Linked DNA regions of Canis lupus familiaris. The protein of the gene in region 1 interacts with the protein of each later gene in a pairwise test. Links are inferred from orthologs where the notes say so. Each region holds a gene or a part of one and is shown in the gene's direction. Other genes may lie near its edges. The genes, in order: RAPGEF4, ATXN1, BMERB1 and SWAP70.

Region 1 (3,824 bases):
TATATCCTTCTCTTTTTGAAACTTTATTATGCTCCATTTACTAGTGTGGCTCTAAGTATTAACAATGCAATGCTACAATTAGACTTGCAACAACATTGTTACTCAACATAGAAAAGACATTATAGCATCTCTAATCATAAATTATCTCAATTACCATACTCAGTAGATTGAACTTTCTGGGGCTCATCTCCTTATAGATACATAGATTTAAAATAAATATATAAAATTGTACATTTAAGTTAGGCCATAATCCATATTACTCAATGAAAAAAATAAAACATTATAATCTAATTATAGAACTCTCCCTTGGCATCCCTGGGTGCAGCCCGTTTATATATACAGTGTTTTGGGGGAAAGGGGGTCTTGTGGCGTGAGGTGAGTGGGTGTTTGCTCAGATTCAGGGACCGTCTTCATCTGAATGTTCTGCTCCTCCAGGGCGTGGTGTGTACCCTGCACGAAGGGGATGACTTTGGCAAGTTAGCATTAGTGAATGATGCCCCAAGAGCTGCTTCTATCGTCTTGAGAGAAGATAATTGCCACTTCTTAAGAGTAGACAAAGAGGATTTCAACCGGATCCTAAGGGTGAGTCCAAGGCAAAGTGTGGCTGAGGCACATCTCATTTTTCCTTTTGCTAGACAAGCAAAGATTAGAGTGTGGTGTTAATTGACTAGTCCTGTAACTACTGAACACTCTATGAACAAAGAGCCTTGGTTACAAACCTGGTATGCCGGTGTGCGTTCCAGGATCCAAAGCGGTTATTCCAATAAAGCTGCAAATGTGGCATGTATGCTGGACCAGATAAGTGCACACACCCCTCCTGGCCCATGAGAATTAAAGAAAAACAGGGAGCGCCTTGGCCAGATGTCAGTCTGAGACCTTTCTCTTTGGCAATTCTAGGTTGGCCAGTTTGTGTCCTTCCCCCCTCACTCTCCAGCTTTTTCTCCATCGTAGACCTTCTAAGTACCCACCTCCCGTCTCTTCCCAAGACTGAGCCTTTCTCATATCATCATGCCTTCTCCTGATTTATTGAGTGATTACATTTTAGTGGGAATTAACGTCAGTCATGGTTACTCCAACCAAGCATTTTCATTTCAAGTGCTTTATGTCAAATTGATTCACACTAAAGGAATTTCAAACTTTAGCAAGTAGGTGAAGAACAATTGGGGTGATAGAGAAATGAGATTGCACTTTGCAGTTGGCTCTGCAAATGCGCCTAATGTAAGCTTATTAAAGTATTTGTGAGCGTGGGTGATGTTGAGAAGAGATGGTCCCTGATCTTCCCCACTCCCCACTATACACACACATACACACACACACACACACACAACCCCTGGAACTCCTGGGGATGATGACAGTGTCCCATCACCCTTGGCCTCTCAGATGGCCTGCAGTCCACCCTGCCCCAGCTTGAGTTCACCCTGAGAGATGGTTCCCTCAAGGATCACTTTGCTCTTTCCCTCCTTGCTGGCTCACAGAGCAGACTCCCTTCTCTGCCTCTCCCAGCCTTAGTACCTTTTCTGTCCTACCCTGAAGTCCTAAATGCAGTTTCTGTGCTTTCTGATATGCTTGGCATTACTTCATGATGATTTACAATGTCTTTCTCCATTCCTAATATATGAACACCTGTTCACACACAGCCTTAAGCATTTGCCTTTGGTGGCAAAATTTCTGACAACACAGTTTGTCTTAGGAATGCAATCTCTTAATGCAAGGAGAGTTAAATTGGAATTATACCATTGAAGAATATAGAGAAAAATGCCTCATGGAATTTGACTTGGCTCTTAACTGATCTCTTTTAAAGTGGGGACCAAATGATGAGAAAAAAGCACATTAAGATTTTTAATTTAATTGTTTAAATGACATTGAAATTTAGAGGTAAACTTTAGTCGCTCTTTGAAGTTGATACACACAAAATTTCCAACTCAGCCAAAAATAATTCGCTGAAAGAATCAGATTAGGATCATTATTGATACAATTTATAAAATTGTCCAAAATAACTGAAAAATGTTTTTAATACATTTCAAACAGATCTTTAAAAAAAATAAACAGAGCCTTTTGATGAGAGAGAAAAGGTACACACCTATGAAAATGACACACCCTCAGAAGAAAATCAAAATGAAGAAACCTGCCACATATTTTTGTCAGGATAAGGCACTTGCTCCCTGTCTTCCCGCTATGCCCCCTCTTTTAAAGGTTTCTCAGAGCACAACCACACTCCTCTCTACTTGGCTGTTTTTCTGAATCTGGGGTAAAAGAGTTTTAAAACCACATGCCTCAAACCTCATCTGGTCCTCTCTCTGACCATTCCAGCCCTGACTTTGAAAATGACTTAATTTGTAGATGCAACAATTAGCATCACAAGCACCAAATGAGTTTCTGAAGCATTTGAAATTTTTTTCATTGTCTGAGAAAACAGCAGCATCTGTATGTGGTGTAATTTGTATTTGCAGGACGTTGAGGCGAATACAGTCAGACTTAAAGAACATGACCAAGATGTCTTGGTGCTGGAGAAGGTCCCAGCAGGGAACAGGGCTTCTAATCAAGGAAACTCACAGCCTCAGCAAAAGTAGGTTTGCATCCAACACTGCAATTGCCAGACTATGATTAACCTTTTCACATGGTATCATCATTTCTACAATAGCATGCTCTCCTTTTTTGTGGAAGACGGCAGTGTGTGTGACTTTTTTTTCTCTCTATTGACTAATCACACATCTTGTGGAGGATAATGTATCCATTTCTGGCACTGCGTTGAGCTTGGTGCTGCCTGGAGTTAATTCAGAGGAGACTGTTCTCCTTCTCTACAGACGCTCTCTATATACGGTATTCAACTGTAATAGCTTTGGAACACTAAGACGGGAAGAACAATGGAAATAGGAATGCCAGGCAGCGCAAAGGATAGGTAGGCCCCGAGGTGATGAGAACCTCTGGTATTTGAATTTCCTGTGTAGGATTTCCCGAGAAGTGTTTTCATCTTATCAGAATGAGCATCTTTGCCGGAAACGCAGACTTCAAATATAAGACAGTCTGTTGATTGTAGCCCAGAAGCATCCATTTGGCCTTATCCATACTCAATCCTGCTAACATCAAAAGGATATTTGCTTCCCATCTCTCAGGTTCCCTGTCGAACTTGATCCCTTTTTCAGATGTCTGTGTTCAGTCCCATCTTTTGTTGCAACTTCTCACATGAGGCTTTTTTCCCCATCAAATGTACCAACACTTGAATAGTAAGACAGGAGAACAAGGAAATGTAGCTTTAAGAAATTGTAGAAGATTGCGGAATCTTGTTTTTAAAGTAAAGATTAATCTTCAATCTTGGAATAATAGAAACACCAATTCTGTAGCTAAAGACAGTGTCACCAAATAACATGCTGAAAAAGAATGCCTCCTAAGTAATTTTCTTTTGTTTGCCACAAAAATGGGGTGTTCCCTTTAATCAGGCTACTCACAGTAACTGATGAATTTTTACTGTTTACTATTTTTTTTTAATTTTTATTTATTTATGATAGTCACACAGAGAGAGAGAGGCAGAGACACAGGCAGAGGGAGAAGCAGGCTCCATGCACCGGGAGCCTGACGTGGGATTCGATCCTGGGTCTCCAGGATCGCGCCCTGGGCCAAAGGCAGGCGCCAAACCGCTGCGCCACCCAGGGATCCCAATTTTTACTGTTTAGACTAAAAGCCCAACGCTCAGGCATTTTCATCTGGATGAATCAACATATTTTCAAAGAAGGTGGGAAAAAATACAATATTATTGAATAGCCATAATATATTTTGCATGTTTTATTTAATCCTTACAACAAACCCCTTTTAACGGATGGGAAAAG
Region 2 (4,371 bases), on another chromosome or scaffold:
GGTCTTCCAGAATCATCTGCAGCAAGCACGCCCGCCCGCCGCGCTGAGCTCCCTCCAGCACGGATGTCACTGCGCTTCCTCCAGGTGCCACACCTGTTGGCAAGGTGCACCCCTCGACAGCAGGCTCCTCGCCACCCAGCTAACACCTGGCGGCGGCACGCGCGGAGGGGGCGGGGCGGTGGGCCGCGGGGACCCGCGCCGGGGGGCCGAGCGCGGAGGAAGTTCCCCAGCGTGGATCCCCGAGAACTGCCATTTGACGTTCGGTTTGCTTTCTGTGTCTCCTGCACCGGTTACCTCATTTCCGATTAAATTAATGATCCGAATGAGCCGCGAGAGCAGCGCGCGGGTCGTCTTCCGAGGCTGGGGCTGGGCGCTACCGAGCGGATTTCCAGACCTGCAGAAAGCGAAACGGGGTGGGGGGTGGGGGGTGGGGGGGTGGGGGTGGGAGGAGGGGGCACCCGCTCCGGCAGGCGGGAAAGGTGACGGTGCCCATGCGGGCGCGGGGACCCTGCAAACTTTCCCGAGTCGCACGCAGAGGCAATCCCCGCAGCCCCGCGGGCCCGGTTCAGGGGCTGAAGCCGCCGCGCGGCGATCCGAGTCTGCCCCCTTAGACGATTCTCGGCGCGCCCCGGACCCAGGGCACGTCGGGATCACCCTCGCGCCCCCTCCCCTCCGCCTGCGGGCCGGAGCCCGACACCCCCCGGAGCGCCCTGCAGGCCGCCGCGAGCTGCACCCCGCCGTCCTCGCCCCGTCCCCCTCCAACTAGGTGCAGGGACCCGGGGAGGCGCGCGAGGACCGACCGGTCACCGCTGAAATTACCTCATCGCTTCAGCTCCCCGCCCCTTTCCCAAACCTGGAAGAAGCGTCCCTCCGGCCGGAGGCGCCCCCCCCGCCCCCCGCTCGCCAGCCGGTCGCCGGCCGCGCGCCGCCTCCCGGGGCCGCCTCCCCGGGCCGCGCGCAGCCAAGGGTTAAGGGCGCCGGCCGGGCCGTCCGCCGCGCCGTGCGCTCGCGCTGCTCCGAGCCGCCCGCCGCCCGCCGCGGGGCCCCCCCCGCCACCCCCCCACCCCCCACCCCCAAGTCGGATCCTTGAGCTGCGGCGGCGGCAGCCAACTGCTCCATATTTGGCTTCTATTACACATTTACATACTGGAGCGAGCGAGCGAGCGAGCGAGCGCGAGAGAGCGCGAGGGAGGGAGGGCGGGCGGGCGGAGGGAGGAGGGAGGGGAGGGGAGCGGGGGGGTCGGAGGAGGAGGAGGGCGAGGAGGAGGAGGAGGAGGACGAGGAGGAGGAGGAGGAGGACGGGGAGGAGGAGGAGGAGGAGAGAGCAGAGTGTACCGCAGACATCATTTCTACTACAGTGGCGGAGCCGTACAGGACCTGTTTCACTGCAGGGGGATCACAAAACAAGCCCCGCGGAGCAGCCGCCAGAGCTACAGCAGCCGCAAGACACTGTTTCTCTCCCTCTGCCCCCCCTTCCCCACGCAACCCCAGATCCATTTACACTTTACAGTAAGTGGCTATTTTTTTCTCCTCTGATTCTCTCCTCCCCCTCCCCCATCCCCTTCGCCCCTTATCTAGATTAAAATTGGCCCCTACCCCCGCTCTCCAGAGAGGGGCAAAAGCAACAACCAGCAAACAAACCCCAAACCCCAGTCGCCGGCACAGAAAACAGCTGGAAGAGGAGCGAAGGAAATCGACGCGTCGTGCTGTGTCGTGTGTGTGTGTGTGTGTGTGTGTGTGTGTGTACATACCGCCTTCTCCCGCTCCAGCCTCCCGGGCCGACACCCCCGCTCGGGGCGCAGGGACTGACGGCAGGGGGGCTGCCGGGCCGGTGGGCGCCCGCCCGGCGAGGGGGCGCGCCCGGGCTGGGGGTGCGGGAGCGGGAGCGGGAGCGGGCGGGGGAGCGGCGGGGCTGCCGGGCCGGCCGCGAGTGCGGAGACCCGCGTCCCCCTCCCTGGAGGCGGCGGCGGCGGCGGCGGCGGCGGCCGGGGGTCGCGCTGCCCTCTCGCCCGCCGCCCCCTGCGCAGCCCGGGCCCCCGGGAGGGCGGCGGAGCCAGTGGGTCCGGAGGGGGGCCGGGCCTCCCCCCCGCCCCCCGCGAGGGCCGCCCGGCCCCTGAGCCCGGGGCGGGGGGTCCCCCGCGGAGGCCGGCCTCGCCCGGCGTGTGGCTGCGGCCCGGGACTCTGCGCGCGGCCGGGCGCCGGGCGGTGGGAGCGCGGGGGGCGCGGAGGGGTGGGCGCGGGGGGAGCCGACGTGCGGGTGCCGGGAGCGCGGCTGGAGCGGCGGCGGCGGCGGCCCTGCCGCCTCCTCCTCCTCCTCCTCCTCCTCCGCCGCCGCCGCCGCCGCCGCCGCCGCCGCCGCCGCCACCGCCGCCCTGTTGGTGCGGCCGCTTCCTGATCATGTGCAGCCGCCGCCGCCCGGAGCCCGGAGCCCGCGAGCGCCCCAGCCCGGGCCGGCGCCCCCGCCAGCGCCCGCGGCGGCAGCGGAGGAGCGGCGCCGGGAGTGAGCGGCTGCGCGGCGGCTGGGAGGGTGAATGAAGCCAGGAGGAGGGGAAGGAGGAGGCGGCGGCGGCGGAGGAGGCGCTGCGGGGATTGGGATGCGCCCTGGAGCCCCGCTGCTCGCTCACTCTGGGCCGGGCCGGAGACTCCGCCACTCCCGCGGCCGCCGCCTCCTACGTGGTTCCAGCGCCGCGAGCAGGCCGGTCCCGCCGGGGGCAGGGAAGGGGCCGGCCGGGCGGAGCGAGAGGTGAGGCGGCGGCGTGAGTGTGAGTGAGTGCGTGCGTGTGTGAGTGCGTGTGCGCGCGCGTGTGTGTGTGTGTGTGTGTGTGTGCGCGCGCGCGGGTGGGGGCGCCGGGGCGGGCGCGGGGGGCAGCGGCCCCTCGCCGGCCACTTGGCTGACTCCGCGGCGCCCCGACCCCTCCCCGGCCCCCCGCCCTCCCGCCGCCTTCCGAAACTCCGGGGCTTGTGCTTTCATTTTATTTCAGACCACGTAGGGGGCTGCCTGGAAGCGGTGCAACAATTCAGGTTTTCTAGGGAGACCGAGCAAAAGGACCTTCGTGGGGGGTGGAAGTAGGGTGGTGGTGGAGATCTTGCCAGAACACAGCAGCAGCAGCAGCAACAACAACAAAAAAAATCAGTTTCCAGGGACCGTGGGGTTCGGTTCAACCCTGTGGCTGCTCTGTGTTGTTGTGCTTTCTTAGTATATAATCCTGCAGATAAGAGGGTAATATAAATACTTCGGGAGATTGGGAAATTGCTGAAGAGTAGTAAGGGGGAAAAAAAAAAAAAAGCCAGTCGGAAGCTGGTTATATAATGCGCGATGTGGCTAACGAGAACGGCAAGCTATTTTTATTTTGTTTACCGTATGCTGTGCAGTAAGGGACTCCTCCAAACTGGTTCTGTCCCCGAAGAGATTCGTAGCTTCCCTGCGAGATCCGCAGGATACGATCAGTAGAATTAGACGACCCCCTTGCACCCGCAGAATAAAAACTACCGCCTTAGAGTGGCAGGCTCCCTGCGTGTCCCTTGGTGCAGGCACGGGAATGTGTATATGCAAATAAGCTCTCCTTTGGCAATCGAGTAGTCACATCTCAATGACATTTGTGTTTTGTAATGCAGGCTGCTCTTAATATTTAAACATTGTCGGTACATATCGCACAGAGCAGTGGGTAGTTACTTGATGGTTATTTTTAGGCAGAGCCAGTTACTTTTTCAATAGTGTTAGTTAGCTAAGCCATTTCTGTTTGGGTTTCTGAGGAGCCCTGCTGTTCGTTCCTAGAAGCCCCTGTGAGCCCACCCTGTGGTTTATTTGTAGTTTGATACTTGGACTTTTTTTTTTTTTTTTTTTTTTTTTTTTGGTGGAGTGAAGCCTGTGCCTGAGGAAACCAGCACCAAAGAGAAGGTTGAGAAAATCCTGCACATGAACTCTTAGAAAGGGATTGCACCATAACAGCTAATGCTGTGGCATTTAATCTCCTCTGATTGTCCTCCAAGTGTGCGTGCCTCAGTCAATATTTTAGCAGCTCCACAGACGAACAGGCTTGGAAGCCACCTTCCATGGACAGCAGAGGGTGGAGGGCTCCCCCGAACCTCCCGGCTGCCTGTCCTTCTCATCCTGTAGATAGTGTCAGTGGTGTAGGCTTTCCCTGCACTTACTCTGGCCCTGATCACTCCTGTAATTAGATCAGGCTGCCATGGCAACAGACAGTGTTCCTCCATCCATTCAGGTGGGTTTGTCTTGTGCCTGGACTACTCCAAGTGTTTTATGCACAGTATTTGTGCTGCTCAAGCCAGAGGAGAGAGTTCACTCCTTCCAGTGTGTCTCCTTTCAATCATGCAGGTGGTGGTGGATTGAGGGGAAAGGGGGAGGGTGTA
Region 3 (3,660 bases), on another chromosome or scaffold:
CCAAACACATCAATCTCAGGGGCATATTCTGATTGGACCTTCTTGGATCATGTTCCCACTTCCTAGGCCATCACCATCATCAAGAGGCTGGGATACTATGGTTGGCCAGATCTGTGTTGCATGCCTACTCTTGTAGCCACAGGGACATCTGCTGTTATCACAGAGAAGGGACTGGAATTCTTGCTAGGAAGATGAAACCCAAAAGCCACCACCATCTGCTATGGCCATAAATTCAGTTTTCCCTGACCATCTATTAATGTCCCATGAAATGTGGTATAGAGTGCAAGGGTATAAAGGAAGAAGAAAGTCCCTTCAGCAAGCCTCTAATATGACAAGGCACAGGGTCCTTGCCTAAATCCAGCATCCTCAGTGGACTGTCTCTTTCATGGCAGGCCAATTAGAAAAATCTCACCTAGCAGTGTGGGGAAGGAGCAAGGAAAATTGCCTTTTATGCAGGGTTATCGATAGCCAAAAGAAATCTGGCAAGAAAGTCAAAACACCAAGCTTATATCCTATGCAAGGGGCCAAGTGTTCAAATTTACTCTAATCATCTAGTGCTGGGATCTAAAGTTGAAAAATTAAAACGAATATAAAACCAGTGAAATCTCTGGGACTCCAGCAAAGCAAATGCAAAACCACTCAGTGGGGACACTTCTGCATCCCGCAATATGTAACCCACAGATAAAACGACCTCCGTGAAGATGAGCTGTCAATAAAAATTCTAAACCCATGAAGAACTGAACCACCATGATTGGAGTCAGTAGCTGCCACAAGGAGAGTGGCTGCCCTCCCAAGAATCAGAGATAACAGACTACCTAAAAGAGGCAATATCGTAAGTGTATTTAAAATGATGAAAGAGATAAGAGAAGGGATAAAACCCAAAGTGAAATCACAGGATGCCATGAGCAAAGAATTGGTAGATTTGCAAACAATTAGGTTTCTATAAAATATATATATATATATATATATATATATATATATATATATATATATACACACACACACATAGTCACAGAAGTAAAAACTCAGTAGATTAAGCAGAGCTGAAGTGAGAATTCAGAAATTGGAAGGCAGAGCTGAGGAACTTAACCAGCAGGTAACACAAAGAGACAAAGATATAGAAAATGCCTTCCAAAACATGGAAGAGAGAATAGGAAGGTCCAACTTCCTTCTCATAGGCATTCCAGAAGAGGGGCAACAGGGAACAAGAGAGTTGGAGGTATCTGAAAAGATCACGTTATGGCCACTTTCCGGGATTGAAAGACATGAATCCCCAGATTAAAGTGACTTGGACAAAATTTCCCATTTATCGGTTCACCAGATGCTTTGAAAGCCAGACCCTGTGCCAGGCGTGGCAGATACAATAGCAAAGAGTACTGAATAGGATTAGAGCTGAAGACTGTGATTGTCGGGGGTGAGATGGGGGGGTGGGGGTGGGAATAGGCTTCGGAACCGTCTAAAAACACACAGCCGCTCTCTGTACCTGTGGAGCTGAGCAAGCCTGGCTAGGGGTCGGGACGGGGCAGGGGCTACAGGTGGTCAAGGGGCTCTCCTTATATCACCTCTTCCCCTCTCTCCCTTTCTCCCTCTCCCCCTCCACGCTCCTACCCTGCTGCAGGCTCCCGAGCAGAGAAGAAAGCAGAGCCCCCACCTAGCAAGCCCACAGTGGCCAAGACCGGCCTGGCACTCATCAAGGATTGCTGTGGGGCCACCCAGTGCAATATCATGTAGCCCCCCATGTGGGGTGCCCCCGGGGCCACGGGGACCCCCCCACCCTCCTGTCTTCATAGCCCCCATTTCACCGGGGCCTGAGAGCTCTCCAAGGCGGAAGGGGTTGAAGGCCAGCCTGTGACTGCCGCCAGGGGCCGTGGGCGTGGCGGGCGGGCCCGACCGCCCTGTACAGAGTGTAGCAATAGGGAGTCCCTCACCGTCGCATGGCCCCCCACCCCCCCAGAGCATGCCAAACCCAGGAGTCTGTCTCACTGTTTATCCAACCACCAGGAAAGATCCTTCCTTGAAAAAGTATGTCTCCACTTCTATCTATCTATATCTAACCCACCGTGCGAATGATCTGGACGAGGGGCACGATCCCCAGGTGTGTATAGTCATGACTTTTCAACAATCCAGCACCACGTCGGACACATGCCTCATCCACCCTCGTAGCTCTGCTATCCGGCCAGCCCCAGATGGGCACAGCTCCCGCCCCCCTGTCTGTCCCCTCCCAGGGGCTGTGTTCTGGAGGCCTTCACTCAGCCCAAGCACCATGGAGACTCGAGGGCCCATCTGTAAAGGCTGAGCTCATGTGTGGTGTCGTGGTTACATCTCCTGCTTCCTCCCCTCCTGTGTCTGGGCACGGTTCACATCGAGAGTGTGTCCGTTTGCTCTTGGCCCTTCCTTCCCTTGCAATGTGTGCCCCAGGTGTGTGGAGCACAGTGGGGATGATGGCCTGGGCTGGAGACCAACCAGCGCTCGGAAGAGGTAGCGGAAAGCTAGAGGCTCCAACACCGGGCAAGGGCAGGCTGAGAAGGGGCCCCAGAGCAGATGCTGCCTTGGGTGCCCTCCACCCACTGGGGGGCCACTGGAGGGAGTGCCAACAGGACACACTCACCAGCCTAACACACAGACCTCCGTAAACATCAGCGGCGGCGGGCGGGAGAGGTGGCCTGACCCAACCGTGTCCCATCAGTCGGTGGTGTGTTTCAACCAGCTTAATAATTCCACCTGTGTAACTTGATGTACATTTGCTACAGCCAGCTCGGCGCAGCCCGTGTGACCTCTCTGTACGTGTGCGTGTCGTGACCGGCCTAACATAGCCTAACTCAAGATTCGCTGATGTGCAATCATCCATCGGAGAAAATAAAAGTGGAAACCACGTACACAGCATTTTTAACGTTTTTTTACTTTTTCTCTTGATTATGGAAGTCATCCATGTACATAGTAAACCTTTTAAAAGTATAGAAAGTATAAAGAAGTTTCTTTGTTTTCTGTTTGTATCTCCCACAAATTTTCCAGCTCGAGACCATGCTGCCCTTTTGGCAGGTTTCCTTTCATGCATTTTTTTTCCTCCCACAACCGGCATCATATTGTATCATCTTATAACCAGTTTCTTTTTTCATTGAGCATTAGATCACTATCATTTTCCCACGTCATCAAGAGTTCTTTGTAACAAACACTCCTCACAAATATTTACAACGGCTGCTCAGTAATCCATCTCGTGGCTATGCCATAATCTATCTAACCCTTATCTTACTATCGGACATTTAGATTGCTTCTACTTTTTAGTATTATTAAGAATGTCATGGGGCACCTGGGTGGCTCATTGGGTTGGGCCTCGGCTCAGGTCATGATCCTGGGGTCCTAGAATCGAATCTTACATCGGGCCCCATGCTCAGTGTGGAGTCTGCTTCTCCTTCTCCCTCTGCTTCTCCCCTGCTCATGCTTTCTCTCTCTCAAATAAATAAATAAAATCTTAAAAAAAAAAAAAAAAAAAGAATGTCAAGATAAATACCCTGGGGGATAGAGCTGTATCTGAATTTCTGATTTTTCCTTAAGATAAAAGTAAAGTTCTTAGGTCACCTTTTTCAAAAATATTTGTAAATCAAAAGTTAATCTGAAGGTCTTTCAAGTCACAGCAGCTTTGCAGTTGACACAAATATCTCT
Region 4 (3,824 bases), on another chromosome or scaffold:
CTCATAGCATATTATTCAGAGAAAAAAACACAAGTTGTTCAGTAGGAAGTATCTTGTAACCCTGCTCATGAAATGTGATATATGCGTGTAGGGCTATCTGGAAGAATGGTCACGAAAATGTTAAAAGTGATTGTCTCTGGATTGTGGGATCTCTGTAAATTTTATTTTCTTCTTTATTCCTTTTTAATTATTGGACTTACTACTTTATATATGATTCTATACATGAATGTATGTATATGATTATATATTTTTATGAAATCAGAAAAATACCCTTACTTTTGGGAGAAAATACCTTTATGTAGCAAAATTATACTTATTAGATTATGACCCACATAGCATCTGATATACATATGGGAAGCTTGATGCTTGTTAAATAGAATTTATATATTTTTTAGTGGATCTTACAAATTTCTTAATTATTATTATTATTATTATTATTTTTTTAAAGATTTTATTTATTTATTCATAGAGACAGAGAGAGAGGCAGAGACACAGGCAGAGGGAGAAGCAGGCATCTTACAGAGAGCCTGACGTGGGACTCGATCCAGGGTCTCCAGGATCACACCCTGGGCTGCAGGCGGTGCTAAACCACTGTGCCACTGGGGCTGCCCTTTCTTAATTATTATACTGAATAATAACTCCAAATTGAGATTTCCTTACTTTGGCCTTTTATTTACTCAGCAGATGTTGTCTTTACTCTTTTTTCCTAATTGAGCCCATCAATAAACATTAATTGAGGTTTCATTTGTGTAGGTTTTTTTTTTAATTTTCTTTTTTTAAAAATTTTTATTTATTTATGATAGTCACACAGAGAGAGAGAGAGAGAGAGAGGCAGAGACACAGGCAGAGAGAGAAGCAGGCTCCATGCACCGGGAGCCCGACGTGGGATTCGATCCCGGGTCTCCAGGATCGCGCCCTGGGCCAAAGGCAGGCGCCAAACCGCTGTGCCACCCAGGGATCCCTGTGTAGGTTTTTAGTGCTAAAACAAGGCATGAGACATGGTCTCTGTTCAAAGACTTGTAAGCCCACCAGGATAGCAGGATAATCTGACTACAGATGAATTTTAGTATGAGATAGCTTTTACTTAAATGTCCAAGGAATAGGGAACTGAACAAGTAATATGATTAGAACTTGGTATAATAATTAAATAATATGGCAAGCTAATATATATTTAATGGTTATGTATGATCTACTACTGGTTATTAGCACTTACACATTTGATGATTAAAATGTCAGCTATTCTTGGAGTGTCTGGGTGGCTCAGTCAGTTAAGCATCTGGTTTTTGTTTTCAGCTGGGGCCATAATCTTAGGGTTGTGAGACTGAGCCCTGCTTCAGGCTCCATGCCCAGTGGGAAGTCTGCTTCGGATTATCTCTCCCTGTGCCCACCCCCTTGTGTACGTGCACACTCTTTTCTCTTAAATAAGTGTGGAAAAAAAAACCCAGCTATTCTCAAACAACCCTGAAGGGCTTTGGCTGATAATGTGTCATTTTGCTTAAGTGAAAATATGAATTTTTACTTTATCAGTCATATCACCTTTGTGACTAATATGAGTGAAGGAAGTATAGGCCTAGAAGTGTGAGTGTAGGAGCTACATTTAGAAGCAGAATCCTGAGACCCCTGGGTGGCTCGGTGGTTTAGCGCTTGCCTTCAGCTCAGGGCGTGATCCTGGAGTTCTGGGAATCAAGTCCCGCATCGGGCTCCCTGCATGGAGCCTGCTTCTCCCTCTGCCTGTGCCTTTCATGAATAAATAAATAAAATCTTTAAAAAAAAAAAAAAATGGAGCCAGAATCCTGCTAGTTCCTTTTCTGTTCATCTGAAGCAGAGTTCTTTTTTCCAGAATAGCGAGAGGTCAGGTAGAAGGGGAGGTTGGTGCCAGAAGGTGATTGGTTGGTTGAAAGATAAATTTGCGTTTCGTTGAGGTTTTAATTTACTGACAATCACTTAGAGTTTTGTGTGTGTGTTTTAATCAGAATAGAATAGTGTAGTGAACTCACATATACCATTCATCCAGCCTCAGTAACCACTGACACATGGTTAATCCTACTCTTCCTACTTGCTTAATACCTTCAAGATACCTTGAAACAATCCCAGACAGTCATTTTATGTATAAATAATTCAATAGACATCCCTAAAAGATAAGGAATTTTAGGGGTACCTGGGTGGCTCAGTTAAGTGTCTGACTCTTGGTTTCAGCTCGTCATGATCTCAGGGTCATGAGATTGAACCCTGTGTCAGGCTCCATGCTGGGTGTGGAGCCTGCTTAAGATTCTCTCTCCCTCCTTTAAAAAAAAAAAAAGAATTTTAAAAAATCACAATGCTTTTGGCACCAGGAGTTCTAAGGCTACTTATCTATATAGCACTAGGGGATGGCGAGTGCAGTGGACAGTTGTCTCTGCATATCCAGAATTCTGTGTAAACTTTTGTGTGCACGTATTTGTGTGAATTTGACTGGGTTTAGTGCCCTTGGCCTTTATGTCCTCAATAGGTTCATGATCCATAAAGGTCAAGAACCACTGATACTTGTGTATTCAAGGAAGAGATATTAGCTCTTAAAGTAAAAGGCCAGGCATTTATATCAGATTTAATCTTTCATAGGGTTACATGATGAAAAAAGGCCACAGACGGAAAAACTGGACTGAACGTTGGTTTGTACTAAAACCCAACATAATTTCTTATTATGTGAGTGAGGATCTGAAAGATAAGAAAGGAGACATTCTCTTGGATGAAAACTGCTGTGTGGAGGTAAGAATCTACTGTTACCACTTTCTGATGCTGCCCCCTGCTGCTCAAGTGTTTTATCTTGCTTCTGGTCTTTAGAACCTTAAAATACTCTTAAAATTTACATTTCTAAAATAGTATAGGTGTACAGTTGCCAAACTTCCTGAACCAAAAACCAAAGATCCCTGACAAGTTTTTTTTATAATGTGAATTTGTTTTCTGTCTCATGAACAAAGTATAGGGATTAAGTCAGATTTATTTGTACATTTAAGGAAACACTTATTCAATAAAATGGAGTTCTAAAAAAAGCAAAAAAAAAATCAGTAAGACAGGGTTTGAAATCATGAATATATGAGGAACTCTGGGCCATTTTGAATACAGTAAATAAAACTAAAGAAAATATGAGTATTACCTTTGAATATTTTAGGTGACCTTCAGGACACCTTACTTAATAGCTGTTAATTCTATAAAGTGAAGTCTTCAAGAAACATACATTTTGAGTTTTTGATTTATATCGGAACTATCATAACTGTATTTGTTGAAGAACATTTAAAATACCTAAAATCTCGCTTATAAATGAGTGTGTTTTGATGGATGAAATAGTATAGATATATTAATGTCTCAGGGTGTGCACTGCCACTAAGGGGTCTTAGATTCGTGGAGATTCACGAGATTAACATAGGCCATACCAGTCTACTTATAAGGATATAGGACAGGAACTATAGCTTGCTAGCAGTAATATCTCAGGTGCAAAGAAAGTGTATCTGCATCAGGCAGGTATGGAAATCACCCTGGCTCAGAAGCCTCATGGTGCGCTGGAGTCAATACCTGTTAAAACAACGTGGATATACCTTCCAGGGTTCCTGTAAGGGGTGTGGTGTGTTCATGTATCCGTCACTGTGCTCAGGAAGGCCAAAGCATGGTGTCTCCATCAGGTGTTGGTGGTTCTCACAGTCCAGATGGAGTATACTAATCAGGGTTCACTGTTACCATAGGTATTGTTGCCTAGAGGATAGCATTCTGTAAACCAGAAATATACCCTTATAGACATTTTTCACTGACATTGAATTTCGGCCAGATTTGTATAAATGATTAAGGTTGGA

The links.
Region 2: the proteins of RAPGEF4 (region 1) and ATXN1 interact in binary tests that used the Homo sapiens proteins (3 or more experiments, as listed by UniProt). The link is inferred for Canis lupus familiaris from reciprocal best matches to the Homo sapiens genes RAPGEF4 and ATXN1.
Region 3: the proteins of RAPGEF4 (region 1) and BMERB1 interact in binary tests that used the Homo sapiens proteins (3 or more experiments, as listed by UniProt). The link is inferred for Canis lupus familiaris from reciprocal best matches to the Homo sapiens genes RAPGEF4 and BMERB1.
Region 4: the proteins of RAPGEF4 (region 1) and SWAP70 interact in a two-hybrid assay, tested with the Homo sapiens proteins (2 studies listed by BioGRID and IntAct). The link is inferred for Canis lupus familiaris from reciprocal best matches to the Homo sapiens genes RAPGEF4 and SWAP70.

Annotation. Positions count from the first base shown.
Region 1 is NC_049257.1:17,573,136-17,576,959, forward strand, and holds part of RAPGEF4 (rap guanine nucleotide exchange factor 4), read left to right. Parts: intron 1-435; coding exon 436-582; intron 583-1,830; exon of another isoform or gene 1,831-2,450; coding exon 2,451-2,566; exon of another isoform or gene 2,567-3,824.
Region 2 is NC_049256.1:17,160,636-17,165,006, reverse strand, and holds the start of ATXN1 (ataxin-1), read left to right. Parts: upstream 1-1,268; 5' UTR 1,269-1,509; intron 1,510-2,484; exon of another isoform or gene 2,485-2,743; intron 2,744-4,371. UniProt on the Homo sapiens protein: Chromatin-binding factor that repress Notch signaling in the absence of Notch intracellular domain by acting as a CBF1 corepressor. Binds to the HEY promoter and might assist, along with NCOR2, RBPJ-mediated repression. Binds RNA in vitro.
Region 3 is NC_049227.1:28,502,978-28,506,637, reverse strand, and holds the end of BMERB1 (bMERB domain-containing protein 1), read left to right. Parts: intron 1-681; coding exon of another isoform or gene 682-716; exon of another isoform or gene 717-731; intron 732-1,618; coding exon 1,619-1,731; 3' UTR 1,732-2,883; downstream 2,884-3,660.
Region 4 is NC_049242.1:33,564,760-33,568,583, forward strand, and holds part of SWAP70 (switch-associated protein 70), read left to right. Parts: intron 1-2,598; coding exon 2,599-2,745; intron 2,746-3,824.